Callithrix jacchus: one gene and its partner. The protein of the gene in region 2 interacts with the protein of the main gene of each other region in a biochemical or structural test. Links are inferred from orthologs where the notes say so. Each region holds a gene or a part of one and is shown on either strand. Other genes may lie near its edges. The genes, in order: BIK and BCL2L2.

Evidence for each region.
Region 1: the proteins of BCL2L2 (region 2) and BIK interact in a biophysical measurement, tested with the Homo sapiens proteins (2 studies listed by BioGRID and IntAct, with this or other methods). The link is inferred for Callithrix jacchus from reciprocal best matches to the Homo sapiens genes BCL2L2 and BIK.

What each region holds. Positions count from the first base shown.
Region 1 is NC_133502.1:188,643,451-188,650,727, reverse strand, and holds part of BIK (bcl-2-interacting killer), read left to right. Parts: intron 1-4,707; 5' UTR 4,708-4,714; coding exon 4,715-4,869; intron 4,870-6,369; coding exon 6,370-6,468; intron 6,469-7,155; coding exon 7,156-7,277.
Region 2 is NC_133509.1:57,657,825-57,665,730, reverse strand, and holds the end of BCL2L2 (bcl-2-like protein 2), read right to left. Parts: intron 2,671-7,906; coding exon 2,530-2,670; intron 1,501-2,529; coding exon 1,420-1,500; 3' UTR 1,292-1,419; downstream 1-1,291. Other genes in the region: PABPN1 (polyadenylate-binding protein 2), read right to left, coding at 98-212, 577-927. UniProt on the Homo sapiens protein: Promotes cell survival. Blocks dexamethasone-induced apoptosis. Mediates survival of postmitotic Sertoli cells by suppressing death-promoting activity of BAX.

The DNA of each region.
Region 1 (7,277 bases), on a different chromosome or scaffold from region 2:
CTGCTCTCCACTTTCAGAGGTGGAGGTTGCAGTTTATTTTTAGGTAGGGGGTATCACCATATTGCTCAGGCTGGTCTTAAACTGGGCTTGTGCCGTCTGCCTGCCTGTCTCCTAAAGGGCTGTGATGACAGCGCAGCACCTGCACATCCGTGGCTTCATGTTTTGAGGGCGGGCAGGTCCCTGCAGGGGTGTGTGGGATGCACCCCGAGAATCAAAGGTCGTGTGCATATGTGACTTATGGATGCTGAATCTCCTCCAAAGAGGCAGCACTTGTGCATCCACTGTGGCATTCTGAGCTGTGAGCGGCCTCTGATCTCTTCTGAGACTGTTGTTTGAGTTAACCAGCTTTTATGGAGCCCCTGCGAGGTGGCGGAAAATGGACAGTAGTGTATCTTCTCATCCTCTCAGCAGCCCTGGAGGCCTCGCTGTCACTGCAAGGCTGAGGTTAGCAGGTAGCTCTGCCTCACACAGCAGGGGCCAAGCAGGGAGTGGAACTGAGGTCCTGCCTGGCTGCAAGGTCAGGGCATTTCCTGCTGGATTGCACCTGAGTTGAGCCTGCTCCAAGGGCTTTGTGTCACCCCACCCTCATGGTCCAGGACCAGGCTGTGCCATTACAGAAGACTGGACCAGGGTTTTTTTTTTGAGGCAGAGTTTTGCTCTCGTTGCCCAGGCTGGAGTGCAGTGGTGTCATCTTGGCTCACTGTGCCCGGCCTCCACCTCCCTGGTTCAAGCGATTCTCCTGCCTCAGTCTATCATGTAGCTGGGATTACAGGCATGCACTATCATGCCCAGCTAATCTTTTGTATTTTTAGTAGAGACAGGGTTTCTCCATGTTGGTCAGGCTGGTCTCAAACTCCAGACCAAAGGTGATCCACCTGCCTCCACCTCCCAAAGTGCTGGGATTACTGGTGGGAGCCATCGTGCCCAGCCTGGACTAGGGCTTTCTAGCTGGGCCAACTCAGCTGACCGTCCCTGTGGACCCAGGGTGGCCCCTGGCCCTCTTGGTTTGCCTGCCTGTGACACAGAAGTGTCAGATCCCACTCGCTTAGACTGGACTGAGTGAGTTCCTGAGAGTCTGAGGGTCCCTACGGGAGCTGGACCCCACCCCCACCATCCTGCAGCCTCAGCCCTTGAACGCCTGCTGAGGGCTGTGCACGATGCATCTCTACTTGCTTGGGCTTTTGAAGGACCTGGGAGGGGCCTGGGAGGTAGCTGGCATTTCCTCATCTCTGAGATGAGCCCTAGGCATGCTGTTGAGTACAGAGCTGTTCACCAAATGCAGGCTGCTCTGTTCAGAACCTGCCCTCCTGCCCACTCTGAGCCCTGCAGGTGCCCTCAAGGCTGTGGGTGTGGCGCTGCTTCTGCACACATTAGATTTGCATCCTAACCTCTTAGGGTAAAACAGGGCTTCCGACTGGCCACTGGTGTTTCCACTGGTGAGCGTGTAGGAGGCCAAGTGTGGGCTGCAGCCTGGGTGGGGACACAGGGCTAGGTGTGTCTTCCTTCACCAAAGAAGGGTTTTACCTACTCATTTGCAAGTTTGCTGGAAAAAGAAAGATAATAAAACCAGTCCAGTTTCCTGGATCTGCAGCTGCAGTGACCTCATGGTGGGTCCTCTGGGAATAGATTGCCTTCATGTCTTCAGTCAGCAAACGTTATGTCTGCTCTGCCAGGCCTTGGGCAGAGCAGCAGCTCCTCTCTCAGCGGTTAACTCTTGGGCCAGGTCATTTCATCCTCACAGCGGTCTTGTGCAATAGGTGTTACTAGTACCGCCATTCTAATTTTTTTTCTCTGAGGCAGAGTTTTGCCCTATAGCACAGGCCGAAGTGCAGGGGTGCGATCTGGGCTGACTGCAACCTCCGCCTCCCAGGTTCAAGCAATTCTCCGGACTCAGTCTCCCAAGTAGCTGGGATTACAGGCGAGTGCCACCATGCCTGTCTGATTTTGTATTTTTGGTGGAGACGGGGGTTTCACCGTGTTGGCCAGGCTGGTCTCAAACTCCTGACCTCAGGTGATCCACCTGCCTCCACCTCCCAAAGTGCTTTGGGAGATGTTGGGACAGGGGATCGAGGCAAGGCTCAGTGCAGCTCACAGTGAGTTGAGTCCACTGCGGCTCTCTCTTTGCAGGGCGTAGAGGTAGTCTGATTTCCACAGGGGCACAGAGCAGGAGAGGAGAAGGCCTTTTCTGCAGGGGTAGGGAATGCGGGAAAAGCGAACCAGGGCTGGAGCTGCTTTCTTAGGGAAATGGCTATTTGCATAGACACCCATGGCAGCCAGCAGTTCTGGACGAAGTCCTTTTTAATGCCACCTTGACACACATGCTGCTGGCAATCTACACAATGTTAAAACATCTTACCTGTGGAGTCAGGATCCAGCTGTGTCACCCAGGTTGGAATGCTATTACACGATCAGAGCTCACTGTGTAGCCTCCGCCTCCCAGGTTCAAGTGATTCTCTTGCCTCAGCCTCCCAAGTAGCTGAGACTATGGGCGTGTACCACGACAGCTGGCTTTTAATTTTATTTTGAGACGAAGTTTCGCTCTTGTGCCCAGGCTGGAGTGCAATGGCATGAGCTCACCACAACCTCCGCCTCCTGGGTTTAAGCGATTTTCTTGCCTCAGCCTTCTGAGTAGCTGGGATTAGAGGCAAGTACCATCATACCCGGCTAATTTTGTATTTTTATTTTACTCGACAGTCTTGCTGTGTCGCCGAGACTGGAGTGCAATGGCACAATCTCTGCTCACTGCAACCTCCTCCTCCTGGGTTCAAGTGATTCTCCTGCCCCAGCCTCCAGAGCAGCTGGGGTTACAGGCATGTGCCACCATGCCCAGCTGATTTTTTGTATTTTTAGTAGAGATGGGGTTTCACCATGTTGGTCAGGCTAATCTCGAACTCCTGACCTTGTGATCTGCCCACCTTGGCCTCCCAGGGTGCTGGGATTACAGGCATGAGCTACTGAGCCCATCTGAATTTTGTATTTTTAGTAGAGACAGAGTTTCTCCATGTTAGTCAGGCTGGTCTTGAACTCCCGACCTCAGGTGATCCACCTGTCTCGGCCTCCCAAAGTGCTGGGATTACAGGTGCGACCATGCCCAGCCCATCCTCTCCTTTTAATGCTGAGAGCAAGTTATGAGAACACACTTGTGCCTAGGCCTGTGAGAGGGCTGCCCTGTGGGTCCTGCCTGCCATCAGTCCTCCCTGGCTTGGGGAATAGGGAGATTTGGAGCTCTGTCTCTTCTTGGCTCAATCATGAACTTCTCCAAGCCTCAGTGTCCTGTTGGAACAAACAGTTCAGTGAGACAGTGGGAGGTCAGAGCGTTCTATCAGTAGGCATGGGGGATTAAAAATTCATAACACCCAGGGCGTTATAGTAAGAAAACAATGAGTTGAAGCACAAAAGTGATAATGGCTAGTGCCAGTTTCCTCCCAGTGTGCCAGGCTCTGTTCAGACTACTAAGGAGTTCCTTGTTTCATCTTTCCAATAGCCCAGGGAGGGGTACTCAGACCATCTAACCCATTTCACAGATGAAGAAGCGGACACACTGCTGCTAACTGCCAGAGCTGGGCTTTCAACTAGGCCATTAGATTCTCATCCCACAGTCAGCAGCATCATCATTTCCCAGATTTAAGGCTGTTCATGCTGTGGGGTACATTATGGTGAATCGGGTCCCTTCTGCCATCATCATGAAACATTTCTTGATGTGAGAATCTGCAGTGATCATAGTTAGAAAGGCCTTTGGTGTCAAAGAACAGAAAACTCAGTGAATGGTGATGAGGACAGATTTGGGTTCATTTTTCTTAAACACAGTTGGAGGAGGCAGCTCAGGGACACCCTCAGGCCTGGGCGCTCTCTGCCTACCTTCTCTGCTGTTCTTGGCCACCTGCTGCAGCTCCATCTTTGGAGGAAGGAGAGTTGAGCTGCCCTGGCTGTTTGCTCCCTGGCATCCAACCCCTGCCTCCAGCCTCTGAGCCCTCATTGACCAGAACTGGGTGACATGGCTGTCACCAGCTGCAAGAGATGCTGGGAACCTGGGGGAGAGGAGGGCCATGGCTGGCTTAGATGGATAAGGATGCAGGGCCACCCTGAAGAAAAGGGGGATTTGGGAGCTCACGAGTTTCGGAAAAACACTAGAAGAATTCGCGATGGTCTCTCTGGGAATAGGAGTTGTGATAACATCTTTCTCATTTTGCTTCTCTCTGCCTTAAGAGAAAGCAGACATCAAAGAACAGGTGTGGTCTTCTGCTAAGCGGTGCAGACTAGCCTGGCCAACATGGTGAAACTCCCTATCTACTAAAAATACAAAAAATTAGCTGGGCCTGGTTCCGTACGTCTGTAGTCCAAGCTGCTTGGGAGGCTGAGGCAGGAAAATTGCTTGAACCGAGGAGGCAGAGATTGCAGTGAGCCGAGATGGTGCCACTGTGCTCCAGCCTGGTGACAGCAAGAATCCATCTCAAAAAAAAAAAAAAAAGGAAGAAAGCAAGCAAGGGCCCTTATGAATCAAGTCCTGAGATGCTGGGTGACTTGCCCGGAGGCACACAGCCAGCGTGTAGCAGGATTCATGCCTGTGGGAGCTGGGGTTGGGGGATGTTGATGGTGTTAGCGATCAAGAGAGAGGGCGAGTAGGGCTATGCAATCCTGGAGGTCATCCTCTGAGTGAGCCCCAGATTGCTCAGTTCTGAGGGGTCCAGTGTACTCTTTTTGCCCCAGAGGAGAAATGTCTGAAGTAAGACCCCTCTCCAGTGACATCTTCATGGAGACCCTCCTGTGTGAGCAGTTCGTGGATCCCCTGACCATGGAGGTTGTTGGTGGGAGTGACCCTGAAGAGGACCTGGACCCTGTGGAGGACCCTTTGGAATGCATGGAGAACAGGTAGGTCCCTGTGGCCTGCCTTGGGCCCCAGCTCTGCCCCAGGCCTGGTATTGACTTCATGGGTGGGCTGGATGAGCAGACCTTCTAAGAGGGAGGGAGTGTCTGCAGATGCCTCCCAGGCAGGGCCCCCAAGGAACATGCCCTAGATGTGGGCATGGAGGCTTCTGCCCTGGGAGCAGCTTCACTTTGCTGCCCCCACCCCCACCCCACACCCCTGATAGATGGACAGATCCGTGGACAGCCAGCATGTTCACAGTGCCAAGACGGACCTGCAGTCACTTCCCCATGTTCCACCGCCCCACCACCAGCTCACAGACCCCTGGAGAGCCAGCATGTTGACAGTTCCAAGACGGACCTAGGGCCACTGGCTGTCCAAATGGCACTGTGCTGGGGCCTCGCTTGACAGGCCCTTTGCAACCTGCAGAGCACATCAAGGCCTCTCGAAGGTGGCTCTGTTGGCAGAAGGGGGACCAGATCCAGATCGAGAGGGTTTTTAGATAAAGCAAGAAAGAATTTGAGCCAGGCTCAGTGGCTCGCACCTGTAATCCCAGCACTTTGGAAGGCCGAGGCGGACAGATCCCCTGAGTTTGGGTTCAAGCAATTCTCCTGCCTCAGCCTCCTGAGTAGCTGGGACTACAGGCACACACCACACCCAGCTAATTTTGTATTTTTAGTAGAGACGGGGTTTTACCATGTTGGCCGGGCTGGTCTCAATCCGCCTGCCTCAGCCTCCTGTGGGATGACAGGCGTAGCCCCTGCACCCGGCCGTGTTTGTCTGTGTGGGAGCGGATGTGGTGAGGCAGAGGTGTGTGTGCCCCATTCTGAGAGGGGTGGTGCCAGCAGGGCCGGTTTCAGGATTGGGAACCGGGACACAGGTCTTATACAGCCTCACCTCCCACAAAGGAAGGTAAGTTGCAACCCACGTGGGAAGCCAGCACAGCCACTGTAGGGGGCACAGTGCTCCCCAGACCTGCCCCAGGATTCTCCAGGGAAGCTCAGAAACCCCTGAGTTCTGCATGTTCAGTCATCCCTGGGTGCCAGGGCAGGCTGCCTTGGGAGACTCACCTGTTCACTCAGTTGCCCCAGACACCAGTGCCCTCTCCCCTCCCCACCCAAGGTGGGGCTCAGCCTGTACCACAAGCCCTCTGCCCACTATGCTAATGGGTAGACATGGGGCACAAGAGGGCCTGGGACAGGCACCCACTCAGGCTGCTCCCTGCTGTCTCTGGCACCCCTGTGGCCAGCCCAGCAGGGATCATTTGAAATGGTTTGCACCTCTGGTATCTGGGTCCCATGGATGGGACTTCAAGGGTGTCTCTGAAGCCAAGTGGGAGCTGGAGGAGGGATGCAGGGAGGCCCACTCACCACCTGCCCCGAATCTGACACCATCTCTCTCTGGGCCACTCTTAGCCGCACACAGTCCATTGGCTGGGTGGGTCCAGGTGCGTTTGGCCTCCATGACACAGCCACACCCCTGATTCCTGTGTGTGCTCCCCGCAGTGACGCACTGGCCCTGCAGCTGGCCTGCATCGCGGACCAGATGGATGTGAGCCTCAGGGCCCGGAGGCTGGCCCAGCTCTACGAGGTGGCCATGTACAGGTAACCGGCCTGTGCCCTGCTGGGGCCTCTACACCTGGGGAGAGACTCTGGGTGGGGGGTGGATGCCCTAAATGCAGCACAGGGCCCTGAGGAAGTCCTGGTGGGGACATGCCCCTGACACTCTGGGGCTATACTGAAATCCTTTGCTACTGCCTGCACCTCCCTTGGGAGCCCCCAGCTCCCGGCCCTGGCCCCTGCCACCTGTCCTGGGTATTCCTGGGCAATAGATAAAGCAGAGCCCAGGGCTCTTTTCCCTCTCACCTTCTTATGAAGCCCAGATGGTCCATTTCCGCTATGGTCTTAAAAGGAGCTGCTACATGAGCTTGCATCCTAGACCCTGGGGGGCCGGGGCTCTCAGCTGGTCTCGGGGGTAGAATGGTGGGTAGTGACTTGCCAGGGCCCTGTAGAGTGGGGGTTTATTTTCCATGTGGCCAGCTCCGGAAGACAGGGCCAGTGGGCTGGCGGGCAGCTGGGGGAGGAAGCAGGAAATCGGTATGAATTTGACCACAAACAGCCCATGCAGAGCGGTCCCTGTGGGTGGAGGTGCCCAGGGAAAGGGCCCAGGTGGCTGTGGGGTGGAGGGTGCAGGTCCCCCGCTCCCTACATCTGTGATAATGTCATCTAAGTACAGGCTGTCGTTACCTGTTCCTGTGGTAACCCCTTTGCCCCCATCCCCTTTGTCTGTAGCCCGGGTCTCGCTTTCGTCCTCGACCGGACCGACATCGGGGATGTTCTTAGCGGTGTCGTGGATGTTTTCGCTAACTTCCAGGAGGACATAGTGAGGCTCTGGAGATCCCTGAGCTCCGGGT
Region 2 (7,906 bases):
TCCAGGATGCCAAGTATCTAACCCCACATTCCCCATCCTCCCTACAACCCTTCCAACCCGAGAACCCGGGCTCTGCGTGCAACCGCCAGTTACTCACCATTGCCTGGAGGTGGACTCATATTCATCTGCTTCTCTACCTCGTTCTGTAGTTCCTTTAGCTTCTCAGCTTCTTCCTCCATCTCCCTGACTCGAGCTTTGATAGCTTCCAGCTCCTAATACAAGTGGAAAGGGTATGGAGAAGAGCTTAAGAAGAACCAACGCAGGGGCTCTGCCCTGGTCTCGGCCGGAGCGCGGCCTCAGCCATGCTCGGCCATTTCCCTCGCCCCACGCGAGGGTCATGATGAAAAGAAAAGCAAGCTACCCTCTCTAGAACAACACTTGGCTCCCGTGACGCCCGAATCAAGCCAGTCGGGCCCCTTGTAGTGATCGCGGACCCATCCCGGCCCGACTGGGCCCCAGCCACGTTATTCCCCGCCCAACCCCACCCCCCGCCTGCCTCCCGCTCGCCCGAGCTCTGGGCCTCCCGTGACCCGGCCAGTCAGCCGCCGGCCTGATCGCTCGCCCTCCTTCCCTCACCGGGTCCTCAATGGCGCCGTCCCCCGGGTCACCCTCGACCAGTCCCGGCTCCTCCTCCTCCTCTTGACTGCCGGGGGCTCCCGAACCAGGCCCAGGGCCCGGAGCTCCCGGGGGGGCGCGGGGCCGGGGCGGCTCCTCTTCAGGCTCGGGCTCCGGCTCGGGCTCCAGCAGCAGCTCCTCAGGCTCCAGTTCCTCAGACTCCAGGCCGTTCCCGTAGTCCCCTGCGCCCCCCGGGGCCCCCTCCCCGGCCTCCCCACCGGCCCCGGGCACAAGATGGCGCCGCCGCCCCGGCCCGGAGCCCCGACCGCCCGCAGCCCCCGCTGCTGCTGCCGCCGCCGCCGCCGCCGCCATCGCCGCTCAGACTGGGGCCCGCCGCCCGGCGATTGGAGAGCTGCGCCGGCCACGCCGAGGACTCATTAGTCAAGCTGCCTGCCAGTCACCATGAGCTAGTACTCCATTGGGGAATATTACTTGGCAATCAAATAAGACCCCACCTCTAAGGCGGGGGTACTGCGCCAAATTCTCAAATCCCAGTAGGGGAAATCTGCCTGTCAATCAACACGCGTCCCACCTCCTATCGAGTCCTTAGGTAACAATACCGCCACGCTGTGACGACATTCCTACTTCTCCCCGGCCTATGGGCGGGCCCGCGAAGTATAGGACGCTCCGTGATTGGCCCTAGCTAGGCGACTGGAAAGGACCAATCTTCCGATCGCTTCACCGCCGTGGCCCAGTCTTACATGCCGATTGGCTCGCGAGATTCGAAGGGCTGACATTCATTTTGTGACAGGCGAACCTTGCCCCCGAACGGACTGCTGGGCTTCAAACTTGGGAAACCCGAGGTCACATGACTAGCCAGTCCTCAGGGGGCCGCCATCTTGGTACTACTGCTGGCTGGCTAGTGAGCTGTTGGGCGGACGAGGCCTGAAACAGAGCGGCCGCTTCAGGAAACTTGTATCCTGACCAGGAAGAATCAGTAGATGGGATATTGCTGAAAATGGAGGTTGTGAATGGAGCATTCCAGGAGGGAGCTTACTTTCCCCATCCAGGTTATTGGCACCATCATCCACTAGCTCTCCCACACCAGAAAGCAGGAAGGATTGCTCAGTCCAGAGCTACTTGACACGAGTTCTGTCTTTCCCGCCCTCTTGCGTAGGCCTTCTGCTCCCTAGTTCCATTTTCTTCTCTTGAATGGGCAGCTTCCAGTGTCTCCCCTCCAGTCTGCACCACTAACAGACTGGCCCCTTTTGCTGGTGAGGTAAAGTCTCAAAACTGTAAATCACTGCCTTTGACACCCCAGCATGTGATTAATTTACACCCTTCTCGTTCCATTGGGTGTACAGGCACCCAGTCTGTGCCTCTAACACGTAGTCCCTCTTCAAACCCCAGCTTCCACTCCTTTCCCAGGACAAGTGGGCCTACCTCCACTGTGCACTTAATGGTTTTGTGCTGTTTCCTAACTAGGTTGTGAGCGCCTACAGATGAAGGGCTGGATCTTATTTATATTTGCATCTCCACGGCCTGGCAATATGCCTACCACATAATGTCCTGTTGAATGTTTGTTGACTGAAGATGCACTGATTGGAGATCTGGGTGCCACCCTTCATTTCAGCCCTCAAGATTCCAGAGGAATTTCTCCTGGCAGGTTCCCACTATACCGCTGCACTCAAAATGAGACCTAGCCCTGGAAGGCAGGATTGCCACATTTTGGTAGCAATCCTACACATTTATTAAAAAGGAAGGAATGGCAGTGCTAAGTTTGCAAGAGAAATTTTTGTGGGCATACTAACCAACAGTTCAAAAGATTCATATGAGCCCAACCAAAAAGTTAAACAAATATGGTTGGCGGAGAGAGTTGGACAAGAGAAGATCCTCATTAGCAAAACAAAAAAATCAAAAGTGAATTATACCCAACTATTCCCCTCACCCCCACTTTTTCTCACAATTCCTTACCTCGAGATCTGGGGAACTTGGAGCAGAGTCACAGTCGCTTAAAATTTCACTGCAAATTACTTCATCAGCCACTTCAGCTTCAGTGTGATCTGGGATAACTAACGTTGAGCACCGAAGACAAGCTCTAAATGATTGAATGCCCTGGAAGAAAGGTCTTTTATACTGATCTTAACCTAATTAAGATTTGTTTATCTTATTGGTGCCCAATTTAATCAAGCCAACAAAAGGAGATGTGATTTTTAAAAATGTGTTTGAATCCTATTTTTGTTAAGCACCACTCCTTATTATATGATCTCATTGGACTCTCACAACAACCCCGTGAGGAAAATATTTCCAAATCCATAACTTTTTTGAGGGAAAAAGAAAAAGGCTTAATGAAGTGAAAAAACTTAGGTCTAAGTCATTGGACTAGTTAGAAGTGTGCAAGGCTGGCTGGGCACGGTGGTAGCTCATGTCATGGTAGCTCATCCCAGCACTTTGGGAGGCTGAGGCAGGAGGATCACCTGAGCCCAGGAGTTTCAGACCAGCCTGGCAAACGTGGCAAAATCCCATCTCTACCAAAAATACAAAAATTAGCTGGGTGTGGTGGCACATGCCTGTAACTCAGCTGCTCAGGAGGCTGAGACAGGAGAATCTCCTGGGCAACAGCAAGACACTGTCACAAAGGAAAAAATATAAATAATAATATATATTACATATAATATATATTCTATATAATATATATTATATATATTATATATTATATGTAATATAATTATACATATAGAATATATACATAATATATATTATACATAATATAGTATACATAATATATATTATATAATGCATATAACAGTGTGCAGGGAATTCAAAGCCAGCTTTCAAAGTTCAGATAAGGCCTGCTTTAATGCACAAAAAATTATGTGTGAAAAATGGAAAGACAAATTCCAACAATAGATAAAAGTTTAAGCAAACTACAATTATATCCAATAAAATATTATTATGCGTCTATTAAAAGGTTTACATAGTGCGACAAACATGCAAAAATAATCTTGTTAAGCCAAGGAAGTAGAATGTAAAATTGTACATAAAATATAATTACAACTATATCTGATTTTTAAAAACACTTAGGCATGGGAGGAAAAGAGCAAAAACCAGTACAATCTTTCTAGTCTTTGGCAATATGTACCAAAAGCTTTTAAAATGTTGAGATTCTTAAGGCCAGGCGCAGTGGTTCACACCTGTAATCCCAACACTTTGGGAGCTGGATTGCTTGAGCCCAGGTATTCAACACCAACCTGGGCAATATGGCAAAACCCCTTCTCCACTAAAAATAAAAAAATTAGATGGGCATGGTGGTGTGCACCTGCAGTCCCTGCTACTCCCAGCTACTCGGGAGGCTGAGGCTGCAGTGAGCCGTAAGGATGCTACTGCACTCCAGCCTGGGCAACAGAGTGAGACCCTGTCTCAAAAAAAAGAAAGAAAAAAAAAAAAGAGAAAAGCTGGGAAAGATGGCTCACACCTGTAATCACAACACTTTGGGAAACCAAGGCAGGCAGATCACCCAAGGCCTAGCCAAAACAGTGAAACCCCATATCTACTAAAAATACAAAAATTAGCTAGGTGTGGTAGTGAGCGCCTGTAATCCCAGCTACTCGGGAGGGTGAGGCAGGGGAAATGCTTGAACCTGGGAGGTGGAGGTTGCAGTGAGCAGAGATCACACCACTACATTCCTGCCTGGGCCATCAGAGTGAGACTCTCTCTCAAAAAAAAAAAAAGGTTAAGATTCTTTTTCTTATCTCCTCTAAAAATGTAATCCAATTTGTGAATAAACATTTGTGAATAAATATTTTTTATTTGTTTTGTTGAGACTGAGTCTTACTCCACAGCCCAAGCTGGAATGAGGAAGTGTAATCTCGGCTTACTGCAACCTCCACCTCCGAGGCTCAAGCAATTCTTGTGCCTCAGCCTCCTGAGTAACCGGGACTACAGGCGTGCCACCACCATGCTCAGCTAATTTTTTGTATTTTAGTAGATATAGGGTTTACCATGTTGCTCAGGGTGGTCTCGAACTCCTGAGCTCAGGTAATCCTCCCACCTTGGTCTTCCAAAGTGCTAGGATTACAGGTGTGAGCCATCATGCTCCATCAGAATAAATATTTTTATCAAAGTGAAAAAATACAGACAAATGACCAATTGGGCATTAAAATTATTGTATAGAAGTAGATGTAATTTTATATAGTCACTATGCTTTTGAAACATTTTAACATCAAGGAAAAATGCTTGCAATATAATGGTAAGCAGAATTGCAGTATACAAAATTGTATGATCATAAAAGCAGACAAAAAAATACTGAAAAGAAGTATGACAAAATAGTAGTTCTCTCTGGGTGATAGCATTATGATTCATTTTCTTTCTATAAGTTTTCCACAGTCACTATTCATTTATTTACTTGTTTATTTTGCTGCTCTTATTTTTGAGACAGGGTGTCTGTCGCCCAGGCTAGCGTACGGTGGCATGATCACAGCTGACTGCAGCCTCAACCTCCTAGCTCAAGTAATCCTCCCTCCTCAGCCTCCAAAATGGCTGAGACTACAGGCATGGACCACCATGCCCAGCTAATTTTTTCTGTTTTTTGTCTCACTGTGTTGCTTAGGCTGGTCCCAAACTCCTTAGGCTTAAGTGATCCACCAAACTCAGCCTCCCAAAGTGCTGGGATCACAGGGATGAGATACTGTGCCCAGCCCATATTTATTTTTTTTTTAATCACTGCAACTTTCAAACTTTTTCTAATAGACATGATTACCTTATGAAAAGATCAAATACATTTAGCTGATTATGGTGACATGCACCTATAGTCCCAGCTAATCCAGAGGCTGAGACAGGAGGATCACTTGAACCCAGAAGTTGCAGGCTATAGTGAGCTATGATCATGGTACTCCAGCCTCAGTTACAGAGTGAGACCCTGTCTCAAAAATAAAAATAAAAAAAGCAAACATATTTGAAAAGCTATTTGAGGGCCAGGTATGGTGGCTCATGCCTGTAATCCCAGCACTTTGGGAGGCCAAGGCAGGAGGATCACCTGAGGTTAGGAGTTCATGACCAGCCTGGCCAACATGGAGAAACCCCATCTCTACTAAAAATACAAAAATTAGCTGGGCATGGTGGTGTGTTCCTATATCCTAGCTACTCAGCAGGCTGAGGCACAAGAATCACTTGAACTTGGGAGGCAGAGGTTACAGTGAGCTGAGATCATGCCACTGCATTCCAGTCTGGGTGACACTGCACTCCAGTCTGGGTGACACAGTGAAACTGTCTCAAAAAAAAAAAAAGCTTTTTGAATGGTGACCTATAAAATAAGGTCCTTCCCTATTAGTCTATAAACTGTAAAAGAGAGGGAACTATCTTATATTTGTATTCCCTTTGCCTATCACTCTGCTCAATAAATAACTGAGTAAGTGATCTTCAGTAATGAATAATCTTTTTTTAAAAAAAGTAAAAACTAAATAAATACTCTTATTTTAATATCTTACTTGTTGTTAAAGCATAGAGAATATCAGATAAGTTTTCCTCTGAGAATGAATTTTTTTTTAATTTGGTATGTAATGACGTGAGATTCGCCCATTATAATTCTCTTTAAGTAATAATAACCTATACACAGAGGACCATGGAGTTTTGGAAAAAGTGAAACTCCAAATGATATTGTGCCCCAGAAGAGGGGAAGATGTATTACTAGAAGGGAATTGGCCAGGTGTGGTGGCTTACACCTGTAATCCCAGCACTTTGGGAGGCCAAGGCAGGCGGATCATGAGGTCAGGAGATCGAGACCATCCTGGCAAACATGGTGAAACCCCGTCTCTACTAAAATACAAAAAAAGTAGCCGGGCACGGTGGCACACACCTGTAGTCCCAGCTACTCAGGAGGCTGAGGCAGGGGAATCACTTGAACCTGGGAGGCAGAGGCTGCAGTGAGCGAAATGGCACCACTGCACTACAGCCTGACAACAGAGCGAGACTCTGTTACAGAAAGGAAGGAAAGAAAAAGAAAGAAAAGAAAAGAAAAAGATGGAAAGAAGGAAGGGAGAAACAGAAAGAAAGGCAGAAAGAAAAAGAGAAGGAGGGGAGAAAGAGAAAGAAGAAAGAAGAAAGGGGAGGGAAGAAAGTAAGAAAAGAAAGAGAGGAAGGAGTGGCTGAGTGGAGCTGAGAAAAGGAGAATTAAGTGGTAAAAATGGGTAAGGGCATCCATAGTTCTTCCCAGAAGAGAAAAGTCTTCTCACCAAACAACATAAACATTTGCTGACTTGGTAGTTTCATCCCTATTTTTATCTCCTTTCTTGAAATTTTTACAAACTACAATAATGCTCTATGATCTTAAACTACTTTGAAATATTTACAGACTACAATACTGATCTACGATCTAGAGTTACACTTTAGTATGATAGCCACGAGTCACACATGGCTACTGACCACTTGAAACATGAGACTCCAATTTGAGATGTGCTGAAAGTATTGAATACACACTGAATTTTGAAGAATTAGTATGAAAAAGAGAATGTGACATAATTCATTAACTGTTTAATATTAATTCCATATTGAAATAATATTTTTATATACTGAGCTAAATAGAATATTATTAAAATTGGTTTGATTTATTTTTGCATTTTAAATGAGGTTACTAGAAAATGTAAAACTACATATAGCTTGCATTATATTTCTAGTGGACAGTGCTGATGTAGAACCTTGGAGCCTTTCTCCTTTAATGACCTCTATCTTGGAGCAGACCTCAATAATCTTCTAATGTGGTCTGGCCCTGCTTACCTTAACTCCCTAGGTCTGCCTTTGCATAGAAGTAGGGTAGTCATTTAAATGTGAAGGAACTTCTGTTGGGTTGCTTAATTTCCATTCTGCTTGGTTAATGTTTTAGAAATTTTGTGCCTAAAGAACTTGTTTTCATATACTGTACTGGAAATATATGTTCATTATCAAAGAATCAGAAAATACTGACAGCAAAAAGAACAAAATAAAAGCACTCACAAAGCCCACTATCCAGAGACAATCACTAATGATATTTTGGCATATATACTTCCTGAAACTTGCAATATGTAAATACATATCAAGGCACACAGACATAAATATTTTAGCAAAATGGGGTCATACTGTATATATTATTTTCTAATCTATTTTTTTACCCAATTAAAAAAAAAGACAAATATCTTCCCATGTCAATAAACATATTCTTCCACATTGTTTGTCATGGTTTTACCCAAAAGTCACCTCAGATATGAGGCCTTCTCTGACCACTCAATTTAAAATTGAAATCTGTATGTGTATATGTACACACACATTCCCTGTCATGATTTGTTTTTCTTTATGGAATTCATCGCCTTCTCATATATTA